3 linked regions of the Oryzias latipes genome follow. The protein of the gene in region 1 purifies or fractionates together with the protein of each later gene. This does not show direct contact. Links are inferred from orthologs where the notes say so. Each region holds a gene or a part of one and is shown in the gene's direction. Other genes may lie near its edges.

Region 1 (7,679 bases):
GCTCCAAACTGTACGGCTGGATAGCTCCAATATTGCTCGCCATTTTTGTTGCACCGCTAATGCTAGGTTAAGCTAGCAGGTGAGAGTGTAAACAGATGGATCACGGGAAGTGAGGTCGTGCTTACTCCACAGCAACGGTTCTGCCCACAACTCAGAGGGGAATCTCTAATTAACTCCTACCGCTCTGCAGAAACTTTGTCCAAAAAACAGATGCTTTATTTTGTCTACAAACGGCAAACTCATAATTAGAGGACCACTGGGAACACTTTGAAAATAAATCAAAAGATGATTTGACCACCTTTGAAGAATTGACATTAATTTGCAAAACTCAAATTCTTCCCAAATGGACAACTTTAGACAATTCTTTATTTGAAAGTATCCGTCTTTCAATACTTTTGCTTCTTGCAGGGGCGCCAAACACAGCCGAGTTAAAGATCTGCAGAATCAACCGGAACTCTGGAACCTGCAAAGGAGGCGATGAAATCTTTCTGCTGTGTGACAAAGTGCAAAAAGGTGAGGCTTCCACCAAACAGACGTTACTGCAGATGCGTGAGGGGGCTCTGCAGCAGACGGGGTCGACAGACCATGTCCGCTGGCTCCTACTACAAAAGAATCTTTCAAAATAAAGTACCAAATGATCACATCAAGGTCTGTTTGTTTTTCCCAGTGACATGAGGGCTCTCATAACTTAGCATCAAACTTTTCTGATGCTGTGTTCCTCCGTGTCTTAACCCTTTGATGCCTGAATTTGTTACCAGCTGTGAAAACATTGGCTTAAGTTTTTGCTTTCGATGCTAAATTAAGGCAAGACTGGAGCAGAAGTGGTTTGATGCATATTTGCATTTTTAGGCGTCGAGGGGTTAAATGTGAAAGCGTGCAGATATAGACTAGTAAAACAGAAACTACATCCTTCTGCATTCTGGGAACACTCAACACAACCTCCTCCACGAACCTCCTCCTTGGTCTTCCTCTCTTTCCTGGTAGCTCCAACCTCAGCATCTTTTCGCCGACATCATCACTGTTCCTCCTCTCAACCTGTCCAAACCCTCTCCATCTGCTTCTCTGCATTGATCTCCACAACCAGGATCTGTTCCTCTGATGGTCATTCCAGATCCACCCGGACCACTCCAAAAGAGAACCTCAGCATCTTCATCTCTGCTGCCTCCAGCTCTGCCTCAGAGCCCCTTAACCAGATATCACCAAATGGCGGACCGCGGTCCACATCCGGACCAACAGACTCTTCTCTCCGGTGTAGATACAATAACTGTTCGGCCTACAACTACCGTTCGGGGTCCTTCCAGTCACACTACGGTGGCCCCACTTGGACAAACTATGTAGCATGGAGATCTGCTCGGGCTCTACATATTTTCATTTCACGTTTCTTTTTGCAACGTAAAGTTATTTTCCTTCATAAGTTCTGTCCTACATTATTGTTTGTAGTGTTTATAGAGAGATTTAGCCACAACCCACTTTGTAAGAAGATCTGTGGCTGTTAGAATGAACCTGCTGCTCCACAGAGTGAACCGTGTCTCTGATCAGAGCAGCCAGAGTCTTGTAGCTTCGTGTTCATAGGCGGGGAAGGTGCTTTGTTAGAGTGTTCGGTCCGGAGAAGGGTTCAGAACGCAGGCCGTTTGGCTACAAATGGACTTAATAATAATCAGAACAATAATAAAAGCACGTTTACAAGATAACCCCGCTCTGTGTCGGAGCTCTGTTTGCTTACTCTGGACTTCATAATGTCTTTTTCTATGGTAGTGTCATAATTTGTCCAGACCAATCACTATCTAAAACGTCATCGGACCAACGGACAGCCAATCACATAATGTGACCTCAGCACTACTCGAAGGACCCCTGACGGTTGTTGTAGGCCGAACGGTTATGGTACCTACACCGGCGGTCCACATCTGGACCCTCCTTGGCTCCATGATCACTTTAGCTGCAGATGACCCTCCCGATCTCCCATAGTATGTGTCACCTCCTCCCTAAAAGCCAAACAGCACTTTTCCTTTCTCAACTTCCACCTCTTGGTCCTCTGCCCTTGTTTTCTTTATCTTCCTCGCACCTCACAGCTTTGCAGGTACTGATGTCGTTCACGTTTCGTCAGCACAGGAATCTGTCGCCTTAAAGCCGTTGGTGCATCAGCACAGTTGGATCTTTGAAAATTCGCCTTTTCACGTGTGAGGAAAGCATTCAGGCGGCTTTTCAGACTGCTGCCCTACGGAAGCTGGTTTACCAGCGAAACTCCAGAGACGGCGGTGTCTTTCTGTGACCAGCTGGGATTTGTCAAAGCACCGCACACTCCTCAATTCTTTGGTGTTCTCCCATGTTCCCGTCTCCCTGCAGAGGACATCGAGGTGCGTTTCTTCCAGGACTCCTGGGAGGGGAAGGGCACCTTCTCCCAGGCGGACGTGCACAGGCAGGTGGCGATCGTCTTCCGCACGCCGCCCTACCGTGACACCAACCTTGTTGAGCCAGTTAAGGTGAAGATGCAGCTTCGGCGGCCGTCTGACCGTGAAGTGAGCGAGCCTGTGGACTTCCAGTACCTACCAGCTGACCCAGGTAAGATGCACACATCTCTACCTTCCTAGGACATGTCATGCATTCATCCTCATGTGAAATCTTTCACTCTTCCTAAAGATGAATACCGGCTGAATGAGAAGAGAAAGCGGACAGCAGATGTATTCCAGAACTTGAAGCTGGGGTCGATGCTGTCCAGTGGTACGCTCACTAGATACTGTTAGCTGTTCTTTGAAGGTTTTTGTTAAAGTGTTTATGACCAAAAAAACGGCATCTGTTGTTTCAGTTTCCATCCCATCAGACCGGCGGCAAATGAACTTTGCAAGGAGAACAGTCCCACCTAAACTTTCCTCTGTGAATGTGTCAACCGGTGAGTTTTGATCCTAAATATTTTGCATCTGATGTTGTTCCTTTAAGGTTTGAATGTTGTTATTTACGGAAAATCCACTGAAAACAAAATAACACGGGTCTGCAACCCTTTATTGGGACAATTTGGCTTTCAAGAAAATGCTAATCGCTTGAAGAAATTATAGGTTATTTAATGAAGTTTAGTCATGTAACCGAGCCTGTGATGGTTAAAGGTTTCATCTACTGTCAGAGTAGCTTATTATAAGAATGAGTGTAGAGCTCCTACTCTGATCTTCAGATGCAGTCATTCAGAACCAAAGAATTGCATCTATATGCATAGATTTTTACAGAAAATCCGGATTCTACGCCAATGTTGTCATGTTTATATTTAATAAACAGCTAAAGGACAAAAAAAGAGGAGATGTTTGACTTGTCGACTGTATCTGAGAAATGGACTGAGTGATGTCATTGATAGAAAATGGTTTATTTCAGCCTCCAACCAAATGAAGTCAGTTCAGTCGCCTTTTATTTAATATTTTTTTTGGATTGGTCCGAGTCGAGCTGAGCCAACGTTTCTATTGCAACTATTCTCACCAATCAGGAGTGAAATTGTTCGAAGGCCACACCCCTACGACTTATAAGCAGACTCAGTAGAATCTGTCAATCAAATGTTTCGAAATTTCAACAGGGCACCACCTACTTTAATTGAGGCATCTGATTGGTCCTTTTATAATTTGAATAACTACAGAAAAAAAATCATTTGAAAAAGATTAATACGTTTATAAAAATGTATCATATCAAGAATTATTGACCAATAGAATGACTGAGTAACAACTGCTTATTTTGGCTTCTTGGAACTAGCAGGTACTTCCTGTTTGGAACGCTGGGGGGGGGTCACTCAGTCCAGTTCTCATATACAGTCAATGGTTTTACTTGGGTTTCTTGTATTTTTTTTCAAGTAAATCTTCCGTAGCAGGAGGCTCTCATTTGACACAGGATGTTTTATTTTGAAAGGAACTTACGTACGTAATGCTGTCAAAAGTAAAATATCTTAAATTTGTTTCTACATAGAAAAACATAACACAGTTATAATTCAATTATAGTAAATATTTACGAGCTAGATTTTATGAATGAATGCCTCGATGGCCACAAAAACATGAATCACATTTTCTAAACATGTAGTGGAACTTTGCGGCTCTGGCTGAGTCTTGGTCTTAAAACACAAAAACTTGGACAATAACTGTTCCTTAACTTTAGTTACTGCAAATATTACTGAAGCTTCACTCTGATCATGTTTTTATCTATTTTCAAAGTGTTAACAGTAATCTTTTAATGACGTTTTTGGCCTAAATCTAAACATCTGCGGTCGTCTCCAGGACATAGTTTCTGCAGCGCGGCAGGAGTTTGTTAGAAATGATCCTCTGAGTTGTGGGCGGGGCTGTTGCCGCCTGCCTGTATGTAAGGATAGAGTGGAATTGCAGCTGTTGAACTGAAACTGTTTGTTTTTCAGGGACCGAGACGCCCCCTGGTGCCAGTGCAGCCAAACCACAGGCCCCTTTCCTCTTCACTCAGCCGATCCAGGCCCCTGCGCCGCACAAGAGGGAGCTCCCCGACGCAACTTCAAGCCAACCCTGGAGATTTATGGAGACTCTGAAGAAAGATTTACAGACCCCCTTCGCAGGGAGTTCTTCATCAGCCGCTCCCTCCTCCTCCACCACCATCAGCGCCTCCACGGCGAGCAACCAATACCCCACAGTCAACATAGCAGACCTTCAGGAGTTCTTCCCCAACATTTTGTCCCCCATGAATCAGGAGGCAGAAGCCACTCAAGCTAGTAGTGCGCCCCCTCAGGCCAGCAGCTCCTTCCCCCTCCAGGCCTCGCAGTTCTCCACAAACCCCGCAGAAGACGACCTCCCAGAGTTCCCCAGCTTCTCTGAGGGCCAGGTCCCCATCACCCTGGATAGCCTGAACATGGACGACTTTGAGGACCTTTTGAACGTGGGCGGGGGTGGCGCCGTTCCCATTGGAAGTTCGGGCCAGCAGCCCCACGCCACCGCACCTCCCCAGAATCCCACAGCGGGCCAGAACCCCTCGGACCCTGCTGGCAACCCAGGAAGCACCTGGATGAACTACCCCAACAGCATCGTCAACCTGCTGCAGAGCGAGGGCATGATGGACGCCGCCCCCCTCAACAACCACCACAGCGGCTACGCAGAACCCGACGACTACCAGCTGCTGTCCGCCGACGACGACCGCCTCATGTCCATTTACGAAAATGAAAATCACGCCGAGTTTGTGGCGGGACGCCAGACCTAAAGGACCCTTTCACCAAAGACTTCTGCTTTCTGCCTTCAGGACTGAAAAGATGCCAAGGGGAAACAGAAAGACCGCTCACTGTGGACAAAGAAACCCCCCAACCACAGATTCAGATCATGTCCTTATCATTACAGAACCATTATGTGGAAGACGACCCGCGCGTGTTCATCAGCTGATGATGGCGTCGCTTCGCTGACACGTGTTTGGCAGGTTTTTGTACTGTATCTGAACAAGTTTATCTGCTGTTTTTAGAGGAAGTTTGGGGTTTTGAATCCAAAAATGAACAGCCTGGTATGTTGGCATGTTAGCATTATACCCTTTTTTTTTTATCAAGTGTCCCTTTGGTTTGAAGTGTCATCCGAAGGTTTTGTCTGCGTGTGTAAAGAACCACATGAAGGTCTACATGTAAATATTTACAGGTTGAACATGTGCTTGCAGACCAGTCCGTGTTCCTGCTTCTGTTATCCTGGTGTTTCTACGGTTACTGTCCAAAGAACCGACTTTTCTGTTTTGCTTTTGGTCAGCAGCCCCCCCCTCCACACACAGACATTATGCCTAACCTTTTTTCACAATAAAATCGACAGAATGTAAAGGAATTCTTCAAAAGTGTTTTATTTGGCTGATCGTGGTTCAAACAGAACGAATTCTCTCAAACTATCAAAAACGTCTCAAAGTTCAGATTTCTGTCACCCTTCCAGCTCCGTAGGTTGTTCCAACCACAAGAAATGAGTGCAAATCAAATACTGCTGGAATTACAGATTGGTTTCTTTCCAAAAAAGCAAAATAAAGGAAGATCAAAACATCTGCAAATGCCGCTCCGTGGCCCGGTAAACAGGAGCAGAACTCTTAGGCGTCAGTCCCACCAAACGCGCTGCCCGTCCGGACTGGACTATGTCAGTTCCAGGTTGGTGACTTTGTTGAGGATGTGGGAACGCCGGGGGACGCACTCCAGGTCAAACCTGCTCTCATAAATGGTGGGGCTAAGTTCCCAGCGGTTCCTTCGGTAGATTCCCAGGTAGGTGTAAACGTCGGGTTTGTAGAACAGCGGGCACTTGATCCCCGTGGAGCGAATGACGGAGTCCAGCTTCATGACGTCCTCCTCGTCGGTGAAGTTTCTGTTATAGACACATATGACGTGGCGACTGTCTCCTTTCGGGTCCAAGGGGCTGACTTTGGCGCACCAGATCTTCCCCTCCAAGGTTGCTCTGGCCACACACTCCCACGCGTGGTCCAGTTTAAAACCAGAGTCCAGGTGCATCAGCCACTTCCCACTGAGCACTCTGTGGTTGAGGGCCAGCTCCTTCACGGTCTGGAAGGTGACAGGTCTGCCACTGGCCAGGAGTTTCTCCCAGCTCTCCTGAAGATCTTCAACGTCCTCATCACTGGGATGGTAGTCGGGGCCCCTCACAGAGATCCACCCCACGGGGCCGACGCCACTCTTCTCGTCACCAAACCTGTGCACTTGGGAGGGCCGGTTACTCTCCAGCCAGGCATCAAACTCCGATTTGGGAGTTTTTCTGCAGTCAAAAATAATCCAGGGATCCATGTCTGCAGCCAGGGCTTCGGCGGCATAGTGATCTGATGCAAAGTTCTCCCTTTCACCGTTGGCAGAGGCCTCTTCTTCCTCCATGATGCCTTAAAGATGAGACTGGAACCGAGCAAGGAGTGTGGAGCTCCCTGCTGAAAGAAAGCAGGAGTTGTGTTCATGACGGCACGAGTGAGGGAGACTTATGCAACACAGAGGCTGAACTTTGGAGCAGCATCTTAAGGCCGTGTCACACACCCACTACGTTCCTTAAGTACATATTGCTCAGATAAAAATGGTCATACGTGGAAAAAGTGAGGAAAGTCGTGGTCTTTAAGTGAAATTGAAACACACCACGCAAAGAACACGTAAATCAATGCACAACATGAACCGTGTGATTATTGTGCTGTTTATATGCAATTCATAAGTGATTTGTGCGTAAATAATATAATTTTACCGTGAGAGGTGCGCCGTAGACGGGATATAAAAGTTATACATCGGTGGTTCATGCGACTCCTGCCGCTTCATCAGCGCGGTGATCAAGAATCCCACACCGTCACAGCTCCAGTTTAAATGTTGCGGGACACATAAAAAATGCGACTTCTCCAGTACCGATAGCAGAACCGTTGAGGTCAGATCTTACGGATATTGCGGTCTTCTAAACAGCTCAAAATCAAATTCACGTAAAGATCCGTCAACCGAAACCCTCGACAGAAATCTGCGCACATTGACGAATGGCGAACGCAAGAAACACTTAAAAATAACGGATATCACGCATAGATCAGGAAAGACCGGAATTTTAAGTCATCAGTGGGAAAAATGTACGTAGTGGCTGTGTGACCGTGCTGTCACCCCTCCCTGATTAGTTCAAGTAAAAAACATAAAAAAAGACAGATCTGATTAGCAAAGGCAGAAAAACAAAACAAAAAGAGCAGATAGAAATATAGTAAATGGAGATGAAACTTCACAAATA
Region 2 (7,776 bases), on another chromosome or scaffold:
GAGGTACACGGTTAGGTACAGGAGCACGGATGAGCCAACTGAAATCTGGAAGCACAGAGCGAAAGTACACGAATCACACTGCACCAAACAGAGGCATGGAGAACTAAATGATGAATAAATTATGAAGAATAGAGGAGAGAAAGAGAGTAGAAGTAGACGAGACTAGAGGACAGAACCCCAGTGCACCATAGTTTCCCCAGCTTAAAACTTCTGGCATCCTAGTGACAACTTTATTGTTATTGTTAAGTTTAATTTAAAAAAAATTAACAGTAAGGTAAATATTATCTGAACACTAGCTAGTCTTACAATAAGCCTGTAGAAAGAGAGAAACTGAGTCGGCCTCTCTTACATGAGCTGGGAGTTTATTCCATAAGACAGGGGCTTGGTGGCTAAATGCTCTACCTCCAACCGTACTTTTACTAATTCTAGAAACCACAAGCAGACATGCATTTTGTGAGGGAGGTGTTCTGTTTGGTTGGTAAGGCACTATGAGGTCCTTAATATAGGATGGGGTCATACCGTGTAACGCCTTGTAGGTAAGCAGGGGAATTTTAAACTTGATTCTAGAATCAACTGGGAGCCAGTGAAGTGAAACTAACATAGGAGTGACGTGTTCTCTTCTGTTAGTTCCTGCTAACGATCTTGCTGCTGCCTCCTCAACAAGCTGAAGACTTTTTAAGGAAATTTTAGGACATGCTAACAAAGCTAACAAAGAATTACAGTAATCCAGCCTAGACGTAACAAATGCATGGATGAGTTTTTCAACATCACTTTTAGAGAGTATATTTCTGATCTTAGCTATAATGAAGTGAAAAAATGCAGTTTTGCATGCCTGAGATATGTGAGCATTAAATGATAAATCCTGGTCAAATAGAACCCCTAGGTTTCAAACTGTGGAGTTGGAGGCTAAACTCACACCATCCAGAGAGACTATCTGAGCAGACAGAGCATCTCTGAGGATTTTAGGACTTAGTATAATGACCTCAGGCTTTTGTGGGTTCAGAAAGGAGGTAATCAATTGTCATCCAGGTCTTGATGTCTCTGATGTAGGCATTCAGTTTCTCTCCTAGATTAGAATACTTGTACTTGATTAATAATAATTAAAAAAGATTAGCTCCCAGTCGCATTTCCCAACAGTTTTGCCTCCTTTATCTGTACTGTTTAAAGAATGGATCACTCCACGTTCACAAAAAATTATGTTTTCTTCAACAACAGCTTCCCCCATCTGAATTACAGCGACATAAAATAAAAAATGGCGGTTAAGTTCAACTCTGTGTTATTTAGATACTTTGCCATTACAGACAATAACGATCTTGACGAACCGTAATATCATGAAAACCACACAGATTGGAATCCTCCTCACTGTTTGATCTATTTTTTTTTTTTTTAATGGCAGTAAGTAAAGACTAGAACTGAGGACATTTTACTCTGAGGAGACGCTTCCGGGCTACTGCAGCTAAATTATGCATTAATAACACCTCTGTATAATGTAATAATATAATATAGTTAATTGATTTCTTGTTAATTGGCGTCATTCTTGTAAACTAGGGAGTGAACTGCTCCCATGCAAAACTGAAGAATGAGAGTGGTTATAAAATTCAAAATAAATGTTGTTTAAACATTTGTTTAAACAAAAGAAATGAGAGATTTGCACAATGTTGCATGAAATAGTCTATATAAATGTATGTATTTAATACAATCCACATGGATTACAGGAAAATATTTTTAGATGTTTTTAGGAGAGATTAAGGATATATATATTTGTATTGCTGTTACTGTCACAAAACAAATAAAAAAATCACATTTGACAACAAATAACTTTAAGAGAAAACAGCAGGGGTTACCTGTCTGAACTGGACCAACTGGCGTGTTTGTGGCTCCTACAATTAAAAATTGTGGGTTGTTTGTAAATGGCTGGTTATCTGTAACGCCCTGAAGATCCGAAGGGGAAAAGTCGAGATGGGAATCAAAACACAGCCCTGAAAGACCAAGGAAAACACAAACCAGTGGGTGTGGAGGTGGTCATGTTAACCACTATCGACATGTTTACCTGCATTACTGTTGTTAGTTTGCAGGTAAGAAGGAATCAAACTGGGAGAAGCTGGAGCTTATTGTGACTGATCACTCTCTTCTGTATTTAGCTGCATCACCCTGGAAGTCATTCTATGGAAAACAAGACTGTATTTGTATAAAAGAAAAATGAAGATTTATATAAAGGAGCATCTGATCCTCCTTTTTGTAAAATAACAGCTTCCTTCTTTAAGCAAGCAAAAAAAAAATACTCTTGTAAGGAATTCAAAATATACCTCAAGTTTTTGGTAAAAGCTAAAAACAACTTCTTCTGGTTGAATATTTTCCATTTTTTTCTAACAAAGCAGAGCAAAACAAAACAAAAAAATTGCAAATTTATAGTTAAAAATGTTTTGATTAACAAAAATTTGTGTCCAAAATGCATTAATTTTACCAGCTATGATATATTTCTTCAAACAAGCACTAAAACTAACTTTAGCTAATCAGGGATGTAGTAAATAAAGAACAACACTGTAAGTACTAATAGTCAGTTATGACATTTGAACGTTTTTTTTTAACTAATTGATTCAATACACAGTCTGACCTTCAACAAAAATAAAGAAACATTTGGGATTTAGTTTGAAGTAGCAGGCAGTCAGGATGTATTCAAATTTAAGCGGCATATTCTTATGGTGGTGGAAGCCAAACAATGCATGTTTTCAAAGCAAAAAAAGGGAGAGTGAAAATTTGTAATAAAAGAAATCACAGAAAATTTACCAAAGAGATTAAAGAACGTGCAAAGCCAAGCTACTTTGGCACAAGTAGCTTCTGGAAAAACCTTTACTTATTTAAAAGTGAGGCAAATATGAAGTGTTTATTTTTTGTATTTATCAATTAATTTAATTTGTATTAAACACAAATGGAATAAATGCACATTTCCCCTCAAAAAAAATAGAGCATATAAAAACAGAATACACCGGTGTTTGAAAAATTCGATTCCTTAAGGTTTCCGTAGTTTTGGGCGATACCATTTTTTGGTTGGGGTTTTTCTTTTAACGTTGCCGCGCTTTAGTTAATGTAAAGCTTATATCTATGATCTGTTGTTAATGAATTTATATTAGATACAATTCAGACAAATTACTGTTTCCTAAAATTCATACAAAGTATAAACACTTGTCTGTAACGTTCACCTAAGTCAAGTGGTATATTCCTAGTGGTTGGGAAGACCTGTGAGTCAAATCAGTACTGTGACAGCGGAGAAACCGGAGTTTTTAAACAAGTAATTACTGAATTAAGGTTAGTTGTAAAGTCTTTGCTTATAATAAGTAATCAGATTTTTTCAACATCAGCGCCACGCTTTGCCGTAATGTCAAGGTTTACGTAGGGAAACTTCTTGTATGACAATTTGCTAACTATAGCTGAGCAATCGTTAGCCGCCAGCTAGCTGGCTAATTGCTAGCTTTTGCCTTAAAATTGCCTTCAGTTGAACAGGAAGAAGTGACATGCTAACGCGCAGTAAGCTAGCATTTTAGCTCAACATCCTATTTTTGGATTGGCATTCCGCTAGCTTGTACCTTTTTTTTTTTAGCTAGGTTCAACAAACATGTCAGAGGGATGCTAAAATGGAGAGACAGCATTCGGTAGCATAATTGTAGTCACAATAAATATTGACGTGGTTTTTCAAGACAAATGTTGAGATGTTTAATGTTGCGTTATAGCAATTGAAATGAATGACGACAAACATGAAAGAACACATACAGGGCCTTCTTTCTCCCACTTGACGTAATAATTACAACTGCTTGCATTAATTTGAACGTTGATAGATTTTTTATGAAGTGTTTCGCTGCTGCTCAGAGGTTTTCTCTTTACTTTTCTCCAAAATATTTAGCTGTTAGCCTCTTCTTGTTGAACAGAATGATTATCAGACATAATAGTGCTATGGAGTGTTGTTTCCATGATCAAAAGAATTGTTTTAAAAATGTCCTTGTTACTATGTTTTATTTGGTAAAGATGTTCAAATCGTGTTATTGGTTTAATTTCCCAGGTGCTGTTTTGAAATCCTCGTATACTTTTGTTTTGTATTTGATGATGCTTCCTTCTTCTTCTTTTTTTTTACTATCAGTTTCTTTTTTGTCATACAGCCTTTATTTTGGTGACTGTGCTGTCAAAACAAACATTTAGAGACCCACTCCAGTAAAAATTGTGTTTGGTGTTTATAACATGTTCTTGTGGCGTTTTTCTGATGGTGGAGGACATAATATAAAGAAAATTGAACCTAAGACTGCATTTCAGAGTATTTTTTAAATTCAAATTGTTGTGAGTCAGGAGCAGATGAAAAACTGCTGTCTGAAAAAGATCGTATTTGTGACGTAGAAGCTACAGTGACCGGGCCACAAGCTCCCTGCTCCATTCCATTCTGATGCATTCATGTACGTCTCTGTTTTCCTCGTCTCAGCTGGAATCTGGCTCAAAACTGTACAGCTGGATTGCTCCAATATTGCTTCCCATTTTTGTTGCATTGGTAATGTTGGGCTTGGTGTGTGAGGGGTTGTACGAGAGTGGGAGAGTAGATGGGTGATGGAAAGTGGGGCGGACTGCTCTGCAGAAAGTATGGCCTAGAAAATGAAAGTTTTTTTTTTTTTAATTTTTTGGACTTAAAAGCTGCATAATCATAGTTAAAGGAATGGGACTTTAACATCTTTCAATATTTCCTGTTCTTTTCTTCTTTTCAGTCAGGCTGAAGGAAAAACTACAATGTCCTTAAAGCCGCGGGTGGTGGACTTTGATGAAACATGGAACAAGTTACTGACGACAATCAAGGCTGTTGTGATGCTCGACTATGTTGAAAGAGCCACCTGGAATGACAGATTCTCGTATCCTTTTAAAGATTTTTTTTTTTTTAAAGATTGTAGGCAATTTATAGCGGTGGTCCCAACCTCCAGGCCAGTCCGTGGGAGAGAGAAAAAAACACGACCTACATTTTTTCCCATTTTCTTTATCATCTGATTTTGAAAGAAGTTTTATTTGGGAAAAGTCCTCGACTCTCTTCACCACATTCCACTCATTCTTGATGCATGTTAAGTTGCTCGATCACGTTTAAAAAACCATCCTCTACTTTCTTAAAGCTGCTGCTCCGACCGTTAAATTGAGACCCCCAGGCTGGCAAAGTTCATTAAAAAAAACACATATGGAAAGTTTGTTTCAGTAGAAAAAAGTTTTAGGGACCAATGTCTTATTTATTCATTTATTTTTTATATTTGTGGAACCCTAAAAGTCTGACGAGGCTGAAGTTGGCATCAGATTTTTTGGCCTCTACTTTGACAGTTATGGGTTACGGGAAAATCTATATCCCTTTTTAATGGTTCCTACTTGAAATCTAGTGTACAAATAAAGTTTAGAGAAGTGGCAAATATTTCACAGAGGATGAAGATCGACTTTACCCTCAAAAGTTAAGGAAAACCTTTAGCTAAAAAAACAAATCGGACGGCCACTTGAACCTCGTTTCTTGTCTGACATTAAACCGGCCCATGGCCTGAAAAAGGTGCGGACCACTGTTTTATAGGGTAGATGGGTTCTTCATCTTTTTCTAAATACAGATTAGCTATTGTTGAGATAAATGTGTCTGAAAAAAGATGTTTTCTTGGTTTGTGATCCTGACCTCAGACACCAGCGACATTTATGCCTTATGTGTTGCATACCCAGAACCCCTGGGGGAAAGATTATACACGGAGACCAAAATTTTTCTTGAAAATCATGTCCGACAGTTATACAAGGTAAGCCTTTCACGCTCTTGCGGGAGAAAAAAAAGAAGTGCTTCTTCCCCCATAAGTTCTTGCTTTTTAGTAATAATATCTGAATGTACTTCTAGAAAGTTCTGGAGTCGGAGGAAAAGGTTTTAGTGATGTACCACAGATACTGGGAGGAATACAGCAAAGGCGCTGACTACATGGACTGCTTGTACAGGTAACTGTATTTTTTGACATCTACCAGCATGCAACAGGGTAGGGCTGGAGGACACTGCTACATTACTGAATCCATCCAGAATATATTCAGCTGTTAGATCTATTTATTTATTTTATTTCTATCCAAAACCAATTTAGTTAAGTTAGGGAAACCTGTTTTTACCAAAAAAAACTGTTCATTTGGAATACGGTGGAATTTTAATTCATGTTCATTGTAACATAAATAAAGGAAAGAATTTTTCAGACACAAAATATTGAAACAAAGAAGTTCTTTAAAGGGAAATCCAGAGGTATTGGATCCATCTTTTGTTTATTTAAACTCCCTTACAGCACTATAATAATTGATCCTTTGTAAATTATTTTCATTTTTAAAGGATAAATATTTAATGAAATGCCAGACACTGATTTTTATTGCTTTTTATACATTTAAATATCATTTGTACTATATGTGATATAGTGGCTTCTCACTATATCACAGTTCATCTTTTCCAGCCCTTTTTCTGTTTGTTGGTGCACTGTGTTCTGTGTCCTGATTGGCTGTAGACCCTGTCAGTCAATCTCCTCTGTGCCGTGTCTCCTGTATAGAATGGGATCAGCTTGATAGATGGATGTATATCTTCAATCCCAATCAGATCTTTGTTTTCATTCCATAATCCTGGACTCATTTTTATACGAAGGTTTGAACTTTGAGAGTTTAAATAAGAGAGAAAAGGGTGAAAATATTCATATCTGTCTGAGAAAAGTGTATCAAATGTGTAGTTAGGAGTTTTACAGCCTTTAAACATCTAAAATATTGTACTAAACAGACATGACTACTTCACTGATTTCACCTATCGTGGATTATTTTTAGAGTTACTTCTGAGGGAACACTGTATACTAAAAATCAATCAATATTCTGCCATTTTATACTAATAATTACACTGCCTGCATGACTTGTATTGTTATTTATACTACTATATTTATAAAGATCGCTAATCAGGGATGCCAGACAACTAAAAATTCGCATTTGATTTTTCTGCATTCAGATACTTCTTCCATCCTTAATCTTTAGTAAATGATTTTAATTCTCGAGTCTCATGTTTAAACTAATACTTCACCAGACACTAATTCTAACTATTTCAAATATCATCTTGCAAATTCTAATATGCTCACAGATGTTTTCTGTTCTTAACTGTATGGTTTTCTGATGTGTATTTATTCCCCTTACCTCTGCCCTTGCACTTAAATGACTTCATAGCGTTTTGTAAATGAGACCAGTGAGTGTTTGACTGTAACCTGAATTTTCAACAAATTAGTGCAGAAACAGTGGAAAAGGAGGAGCAGCCAAAGGAAGTCAGACAGACCATCAGTCAAAAAAGGAGGAAAAAAATGTCAGTTTGGCAACAAACCCCAAAGCCCTCATTCATTAGACCCACTCCAATGAAAATATTTATGCAAATGTTTAATATTTTCTTTTGCAACACAAAGTTTTGTGTGCAACGTGGTGGCATTAATATTACTCCATGCAAATTGAGCTCAATTGCATTTCTGAGTATTCGTTTATACAAATTGTTGTGAATCAGGGGTAGAGGAAAAAAGTTTTTTAAAAAAGAGCTTATTTGGGACGTAGAAAATACGCTGGGCGTGCCACACACTTCCTGCTCCGCTCCATTCTGATACATCCACTCGTAGACAAATAGATCCATGCACGTCTTTGTCTGAGCTTGCATCTGGATCAGAACTGTTTGGCTGGATAGCTCCGATATTGCTTAACATTTTTGTTGTACAGCTAATGTTAGGTTGGAGGTGTGAGGGGCTCTAAGCC
Region 3 (7,922 bases), on another chromosome or scaffold:
ATCATCGTACGGGAGCCCACCACTAGAGCGGTGTCTGATTACACGCAGGTGTTGGAGGGAAAAGAGCGCAAAAACAAAACTTACCACAAGTTTGAGAAATTAGCTGTTGATTCCAACACTTGTGAGGTGAACACAAAGTACAAAGCTGTCCGGACCAGCATCTACACCAAACACTTGGAGCGCTGGCTGAAGTATTTTCCTGTGGAACAGTTCCACATTGTTGATGGGGATCGCCTCATAACAGACCCACTGCCGGAGCTGCAGCTGGTAGAGCACTTCCTCAACCTCCCGTCCAGGATCAGCCAGTACAACCTGTACTTCAATGTCACCAGGGGGTTTTACTGTCTGCGGTTCAACATTGTCTTCAGCAAGTGCCTAGCAGGCAGCAAGGGTCGCATCCATCCTGAGGTGGACCCAGCTGTGGTGACTAAACTGCAGAAGTTCTTTCATCCCTTCAATCAGAAATTTTATCAGATTACTGGCAGAACATTCAACTGGCCTTGATGAGTCACAAAGTCCTGCAATGAGATTATTTAGTGGAATCTTGTTTTCATTTTTCTAAGTGTTAATTGAACTATGAGTTGATCTTACTGAAAAAAATGATCAAATTGAAAGTTCCTTTAGCAAAATCATTTTTCACTGAAGAGAATTAAAATAAAAATAGCTAAAAGCACTCATTCATGCACATCCAGAAACAAACGATTTCTGTGACTAAATCGAGTGTTTATTTTTTAAAGGAATTCATGCTGGTGTAATTAGCTTTAAGACTGACGCTTTTTTTCAGATAACACACTTCAGAATAATGAAAGAAATGAATGAGAGAAGAAATGAATGGATGGATGAGTGAATTCTTAAATAAATGAATGAGTGAAGAAATGAATAAGTGAATTCAGATGAGTGAATGAATGAACAAACAAATTCTTTGTCACATTGTTTATATGATCCAAACTGCATGTCCTACCCATGACATCCAAATGTTATAATTTCATAGCTCACTGTTGTGTAAGTTCTTTTGGTTCATGCTCTTCAATCACAGGATTTTTAAATACATTTGTTAAACAACCTTTTTTTTTATTATTCTTTGTCCAAAGGGCTTTAGAGTTTCAAGAATAAAGATCTGGTGTTTTAGGTTTTCAGTATTTACTGTAGCTTTGACACTTTCTGGGGATTAAACAGAAGTTTGCTGTTTCTAAAAGCTGTTTCATCTAATTCTAGCAAAAGCAAAAAAAAAAGCTACAAGAAGCTGTAAGAAAATCTGGAGCTGGCCTTAGACGTCTGTCAGACCACTTCTATTCTGTGTCCATGTGCAAATATTCACTGTAATACATGTGTTGTTAAAAAATAAGTGGATTAAAGAACATGGAAACCTTTCTGGAATTATTTGTGTTTTGGTTTCCTCTTGTACATCCTGTTGATGATCTCACCTTAATGTACCACTAAGCTCTGCGGATAAGTGATTGGATCAGGTCCTGTACCTCAACAGTCATTTTGAATCATTAAATGGCTAAACACTCCATTTTTTTAAGTAATATGTGCTGTGCTTCAAATATCAGAGTGGATTAGACGTTCAATGAAGTGTATTAATAATCAGTCAGTGGTTGGATCCCCGCTCCCCCCAGCCAACTGTTGTTGTGTCCATGGGCAACCTTACCCTGCCTGCTTCTAGTGTGGCTCCACTGGTGTGTGAATGCGTAGGAATGTCCCGGGGATAGTCAGAGGGGCCGTAGGCAGCAAGACCTCTGTCAGTCTGTCCCAGGGCAGCTATGGCCATTCAGTGAGGAGTGACTGAATAATGGATACATGTTGTAAGCACTTTGAGTGTTTGGAAACATCCAATCCATTTTTATTGAAACATCCTTATTCACATTTTATGAAAGCTTGGTTTAAGAAAACCAAGAGCGATAAATGAACATGTATTCCTCATGGTTTCTAATCTTTTATGTATTTTCTAAGATTTTTTTTTTTCTGGAAAGTACTACCACAGTGGCAAAAGAGATTTCATGAGCTACAGCTTGACTGACAAGTCAAGTGCAAAATGTTCTGCTCCTGGTTAACATCTGTATTATTTCCAACAAAGAAGAAACTTGCTGATGGAATAAAGTATCTTTTAGCCCAAATTGCCTGATTGGATGAATAATCTCCAGTTTGACTGTAGATGCTGAGAAGAGAAAGCTAAAGCCTTAGTCCCAACTGCTCTTAGGGGTGGGCACGGGCTGTCTGCAGATGAAAAAGGGCCAAATCTGTATGAGACAAGCAGGCGGCCCGCACGAAATTTCAAGATTGTAGACCACTCAGTGAATGTTCATGCTCAGTTTTTCTACGGGCTGGTGCGGGCGGCAGGTCGTCAGGTACTTTAACAACACACAACGGCAGGCACAGGTGAAGTATGTAAGACACAGGCATTTCATGTTGATTTTTCATTTTTTCCGCCCCCCTGAGCAAGAACACCCATACCTCATCAGTTTGTAACTTCCATTATCCTAACAAATACTTCACCATGTACTTACGAAATGCAAAACAATAACCTTTAAGGTGGTTGTGCAAGCCTCAAGGGAACTACAAGACATCTTAAGGAGCAGCCACTCCTCTCTACGACTCTTGACGGGCCAGAAAACCCAAAAACTGTAGACTTTAGACGGCTCGTAGACTGGATCAGGTCTGTGTGCGATTGGAAGAATTTCTGACCAATCGGCATCAAACTTTATGCCCATGTCTGTGATTAACTGGCTTTTGTGACACATAGAGAATTGTTTTGATTGGACATATTTTTAGGTTTCAAGAGTAAAACTGTTTTGTTTGCACTTATTTTTGAGTCTCAAGTGCATTTTTATGTTTCAAGTGCAAAATATTTTTGAGCACACAAAATATTTCAAGTATTTCAAGTACGCTTGGAATAATGGGACACATAAATCACTCCATAGACGAGGACAAGGCCAGAGCAGAGGACCAAGTGGTGTAAGTAAAAAAAAAAGGGCTTTGTGGCTTTGAGGGAGGAGTTGAAGAAGCAGAGGTGAAGAACAAATTTAAATAAGGTTCAACAGTGCAAAGCAAAGTCCAGATAAAGGAGATTTTCACGTGCCTGAAGCATGAATTGAGTGTGAAGTGGGGCTGTGCGACTCTGAGTCTGTCAGAAGGAAGAGGCTCAAACTGGGGTAGAAGGTTGCAGAGTCTTGTACTAAAATGATCTCCTGGTGGCATGGCTAGACTACCACAGACAGAACTGGCAATCCACATATCATGTGTTGATGCCCTGCCCCAAAGACGCAAAACAAAAGAACAAGGACAAAGAAACTTAAAGTGGGGCGCAGGGGCGGAGCCCAACCTTGCCCCGCCCAGCCCACGTAGCCCCTCCCACTCAGCGACGCCGTGCAGATGTTCTCCATCCAGCTCTTGTCTTTCTGTTAACGCGAATTGAGCCTCACCTGTGGAGCTAAAGGAGCTTGTAGCATGGCGTACACGGTTGCAGGTGGAACTAAGAAGAAGGTCTGCTACTACTACGACGGTAAGAGCTGCTGTGTGGCGCACGAGCCAGGCTAACGCTAGCTGTTAGCATCGAGCATGTGCTAGCATCGGTCAGTTACGGTCGGAACTCATTTCTCCGGGGCTAAAGTCTTTTCTGCTTCATTGAAACGGTGTAAAGCCAACATCTGAGGGGGGCACTGTACGTTAAGTAGCCGGCGCCTCACGTCTGTCTCCACCCCTCGTTGTGTGAGTTACGGCTACGTACGTCAGTCTTGTTTGAGACCCAGGCAGTTCAGCCGGCGTTCTGTTGTGATCTTTCAAGATCCCACCGAGGAGAACCCACATCCGGGAACGTATGAGGAGAAAAGCTTTTAACGTCTTTAACGAGGTTGCCGTCCCACAATGCAACCATCCACAGAACACACGACTGGCAGCCTCTACTGCTTCCAGACGAGCACGCGCGGCCTGGCTCACCTACACGTCACGTGACCGTCTGCAGAAGCCCCGGGTGGCTCTAAACCTGCGTTCAGGTCCAAACACAAGCGTGTCCGATCGCTTTAAGTTATTATTTTTTTTTAAATCAAAAACCTGTGTTGTTTTCTGGGACATAGTTTCTGCAGAGCATTAACCTCTGAGTTGTGGGTGGGACTGTTGATGCAGAGCACCCCCCCCCCCCCCCCCCGTTTACACTCTACTCTACCACTAGCTTACAGCCCCTCACAACCCCATCCTCACATTAGCAGTGCAACAAAAAAGATGGCCAATATCAGATCTATCCCGATTCCAGCTCAGACGAGGAAAACAAAGACGTTCATGGATCCATTAGTCTGCAGGTGGATGCCTTAAGGCCCGTACACACCGGGACGAATATTCGCCAGGCGTTATTCGCCAGCGTTTTTCGCCACGTTTTTTGTGTTCACACCCAGGCGATTTTCGCTGACGATGAGTGGAGTGAACATGCAATTTCATTCCCTGACATTAGATGGCGCTTAATGTAAAACTGAAATACTCCTGTACACAAGGTGGCGCTGCGCAACTTTACGCTTCTTAAAGTCGCTTTTCACTCAGAAGAAGAGAGCAAGTTTTTACACGCTTGTCAGAATCAAACAAAGAAAACATGAATATTTCAAGCACCAGTAGCTCCAACTGGTGCTTGGTTCGGGGATGTTTTAGAATGTCCGTCATTATTGCTTCGCGGCTGTGTAGACGCTACTTGGCGTCTATCTTCTTCGCTGGTATGTGTGCTCAGCAAGGCAGTTTTGTGTTTGAGCGCCCCCAAGTTGTGTTTTACTGTAACTTCAGAAGCTCCAGACACGTGAGCAAAAGCGCCGTTCTCATTGGTCGAGTAGATTTCGTCGGAAAAAAAAAACGAACCCGAGGCGTTTTTTTTTGGACGCTTTAACGCCTGGCGTTTTTTCGCGTCGATGTGCACACTCTCGTTGGTGCCCTTTGTTTAGTCACGAGGCGTTAAACGTCGGCGAAAATCGCCGGCGAAATTCGTCCCGGTGTGAACAGGCCTTTAGAGTGGAACAGAACAGGGAGCTTGGGGCTTGCTTATAGCTATTCCCAACTGCATATTTTTTATCCGCTCCTGACTCACAACAGTTTGAACAAAGAAATACTCGGAAATTCAATTTTCTGTTTAATTTTCTTCATATTCAGAATAATGCTGCCAGAACGTGTTAAAAACACCATGTTCATTTAAGCAATTCACTTCACCTTTTTCTGCGGTCACATTTAGCTTAGAGCAGTCCCACGTGCACTAATGACGTGCACATCACTTTGAAATGACTAGATTACTGATGCAGATGTAGATCTTCGTGAACATAAGTGTCATAAAAGTTCAGCCCATTAGAACTGGCACTTGTTTAGAGCGGTTTCATATTTTAATAATCTGACTGAAATCATAATGTAAAGAATAAACTGACATTATGAGATGTCAGAGTACATTTTGGTTGGGAGGGTCCAGTTTGTTGGACAGGGATCAGTCCCGTTTTCTGTCTGCTGTAAACTGTTCCTGGTTTGTTTACTGAGCAGTAATAAATAACGGTGAGGATGTGAGTCATCGTTCTGAAGCTTCGGTTGTTCCACAGATCAGTGCTCTGAGTTGTCTTCCTCTGTCGTTTGCTGCTCATGTTCTCTGTTGGAACAACACAGATGCCAACAGTTGAATCAGAAAAGCTGGTGGAGCTAATGTTGGCAATCTGCATCATTGATTTTGTGTTTTTCTTGTGTCTAGGTGATGTTGGAAACTACTATTATGGACAAGGACACCCCATGAAGCCACATCGGATCCGCATGACTCACAACCTCCTCCTGAACTATGGCCTCTACAGAAAAATGGAGATCTATGTATGTTTTCCTGTGCTCTGTTGCTGTGAGGAGCGTGTCTCCATGTGACCTGATCCTCAGCAGACTTCAGACATTAGGAAACGTCGATTTAGCTTGGCGGTTTGCTCTTAGTTCTGTGTTCGCTCCTGCTTTCATTCAGTTCTGGTTTCTTCCCTTCCACCTTTCTCCTGGTTTCAGAGGCCACACAAAGCCACCGCAGACGAGATGACCAAATACCACAGTGACGACTACATCAAGTTCCTCAGATCCATACGGCCAGACAACATGTCCGAGTTCAGCAAGCAGATGCAGCGCTGTGAGTGGGCTCTGTTGACGTTCAGACAAACTTAAGGAAGCATTTTGTACAGGATACAAGTCAAGTGAAGTGGATTGTCAGTGAAGCTACAATCCGTCAAATGTTTCCAACGCTGGACGTGGGACCACCTACTTTTATTGAGGCATCTGATTGGTCACTTTATAAGTGATAAACCTGAACTATAGACTGCATAACCTAGAGAATTGCATAACCTGAACTATAGAATGATGTAAAAACAAAAGGGATGACGTCATCAGAAAAAGTATGGTTCTTCTGACCAATAGAATGACTGAGGAACAGCTGTTTATTTCTCTATAAAAGTCGATTTTGGATTTTGCGATTTTGGCTTTTTGGAACCAGCAGGTACTTCCTGTTTGGAATGCCATGGGGAGGAGGGCCACTCAGTCCAGTTTTCTTATATAGTCAATGGCTCATACCAAACGCGATTTGCAAGTCATGGCATCTAGTTTACATGTTAAGTCAATCTACAGATTTGGTTAGAAGGCCCGTGGCTCATTTTAAGTGTCAGGGGGGTGCAGTTCTTTAGTGGTGGGGCATTTTAGACAGTGGGGCTACACAGTGTGGCAACATTTCACAGTGCAGCACCATGTTTCCAGAGTTTAACTATGGCAAAGAGTTTGTGTTGCTTCAACCAATCAGGGACTCAGCTTTGGCCCGTGACGTCTTGATGAGGTGATCAGTGGGTGGAGTCTAAAACAGACATGAAGGAGAACCTGATCATTCTCTTCGTGAACTTCACACTTTCCTTATTATCATTGAGACAATAATAAAACGATTCTACAAGTAGTATACAGTAAACCCTTGTTTTTCGCGGGGGTTACGTTCCAAAAAAACCTGTAATAGGCAAAATCCGTGAAGTAGAAACCTTTATTTTATTTTAAATATTATTATACAATTAAATACTTATACATTATTATACATTGAAAAGAAAGAACAAACCATTTTACAGGCTCAAGCATTTGTTTCACAAATAAAAGTACTTTATAAAAGTTTTTTTTTCAACAAATAACGTCTGTACTGTTCTGTCAAATAATAATTTGAATCATCGATGTGAACAGAAGGCTTCAAATCGCGGAGATTAGCCCCGCCCACCGCGACCCGAGAGTAATTGAATTAAACGGGAGAAAATTTAAAATGATAATAAAAAAAAATACAAAGTACAGTGGGACAAATAGTGAGTCAGGTGTATTTCACTGCTATTCAGACTGAGCCGCTGCATCCTGACTCCGCTCTGCAGTGTTTTCTTCTTTTGAAGCCCGCGGTGCAGCTGTGTTTGTTCAGGAGAAGAACACAGTGATAGGCAGTTGTTGCTCTTTTTTCTATGGGTTTTAGAGATACTCGAAATTGCAAGAGAATTTGCACGTACATAATGTAAATTTGGCAAGCTGTTTTATGTACGTGTACAAATTAAACTGCAACGTTATTGACGCACAGGAAGAGAAGAATTAGAGTGACTTTTTAGCCAATCAGAATGCAGAACACAATGCACGATGCAAATCCGTGAAGAAGTGAAACCGTGAAAAGTAAACCGCGTTATAGTCCCTCCTGGGACTAATGAGGGACAGCAAGTCATCACACTGGGTCACAGAGACAGAAGTACCGCTGAAAGCATCTGTCATTCAGATGCAGCTCCTGCAGCAGACGGTGAAGCTCTCCATACTGGGGGAGTCTCTGAATGATCTCAGACATGGACACATGATTACTGATGATTTTGTAGAGCTCTTTGAAATAAATAAACCTGAAACTAAATCACTTCTGCTTGAAACACAAAGCTATTGAAGCAAGCTTTGTT

The links. The genes of interacting proteins can lie anywhere in the genome.
Region 2: the proteins of putative transcription factor p65 homolog (region 1) and cul2 purify together in Homo sapiens (affinity purification with western blotting; 3 studies listed by BioGRID and IntAct, with this or other methods). This does not show direct contact. The link is inferred for Oryzias latipes from reciprocal best matches to the Homo sapiens genes RELA and CUL2.
Region 3: the proteins of putative transcription factor p65 homolog (region 1) and hdac2 purify together in Homo sapiens (affinity purification with western blotting; 8 studies listed by BioGRID). This does not show direct contact. The link is inferred for Oryzias latipes from reciprocal best matches to the Homo sapiens genes RELA and HDAC2.

Annotation. Positions count from the first base shown.
Region 1 is NC_019876.2:27,222,785-27,230,463, forward strand, and holds the end of putative transcription factor p65 homolog, read left to right. Parts: intron 1-408; coding exon 409-513; intron 514-2,343; coding exon 2,344-2,559; intron 2,560-2,637; coding exon 2,638-2,718; intron 2,719-2,803; coding exon 2,804-2,887; intron 2,888-4,375; coding exon 4,376-5,181; 3' UTR 5,182-5,773; downstream 5,774-7,679. Other genes in the region: UPF0696 protein C11orf68 homolog, read right to left, coding at 6,071-6,074; UPF0696 protein C11orf68 homolog, read right to left, coding at 6,071-6,811. UniProt on the Homo sapiens protein: NF-kappa-B is a pleiotropic transcription factor present in almost all cell types and is the endpoint of a series of signal transduction events that are initiated by a vast array of stimuli related to many biological processes such as inflammation, immunity, differentiation, cell growth, tumorigenesis and apoptosis.
Region 2 is NC_019878.2:9,090,655-9,098,430, reverse strand, and holds the start of cul2 (cullin-2), read left to right. Parts: upstream 1-3,181; 5' UTR 3,182-3,306; intron 3,307-4,742; 5' UTR 4,743-4,764; coding exon 4,765-4,883; intron 4,884-5,680; coding exon 5,681-5,783; intron 5,784-5,878; coding exon 5,879-5,973; intron 5,974-7,776.
Region 3 is NC_019882.2:21,612,115-21,620,036, forward strand, and holds the start of hdac2 (histone deacetylase 2), read left to right. Parts: upstream 1-3,327; 5' UTR 3,328-3,447; coding exon 3,448-3,502; intron 3,503-5,701; coding exon 5,702-5,814; intron 5,815-5,991; coding exon 5,992-6,109; intron 6,110-7,922. Other genes in the region: hs3st5 (heparan sulfate glucosamine 3-O-sulfotransferase 5), read left to right, coding at 1-504. UniProt on the Homo sapiens protein: Histone deacetylase that catalyzes the deacetylation of lysine residues on the N-terminal part of the core histones (H2A, H2B, H3 and H4).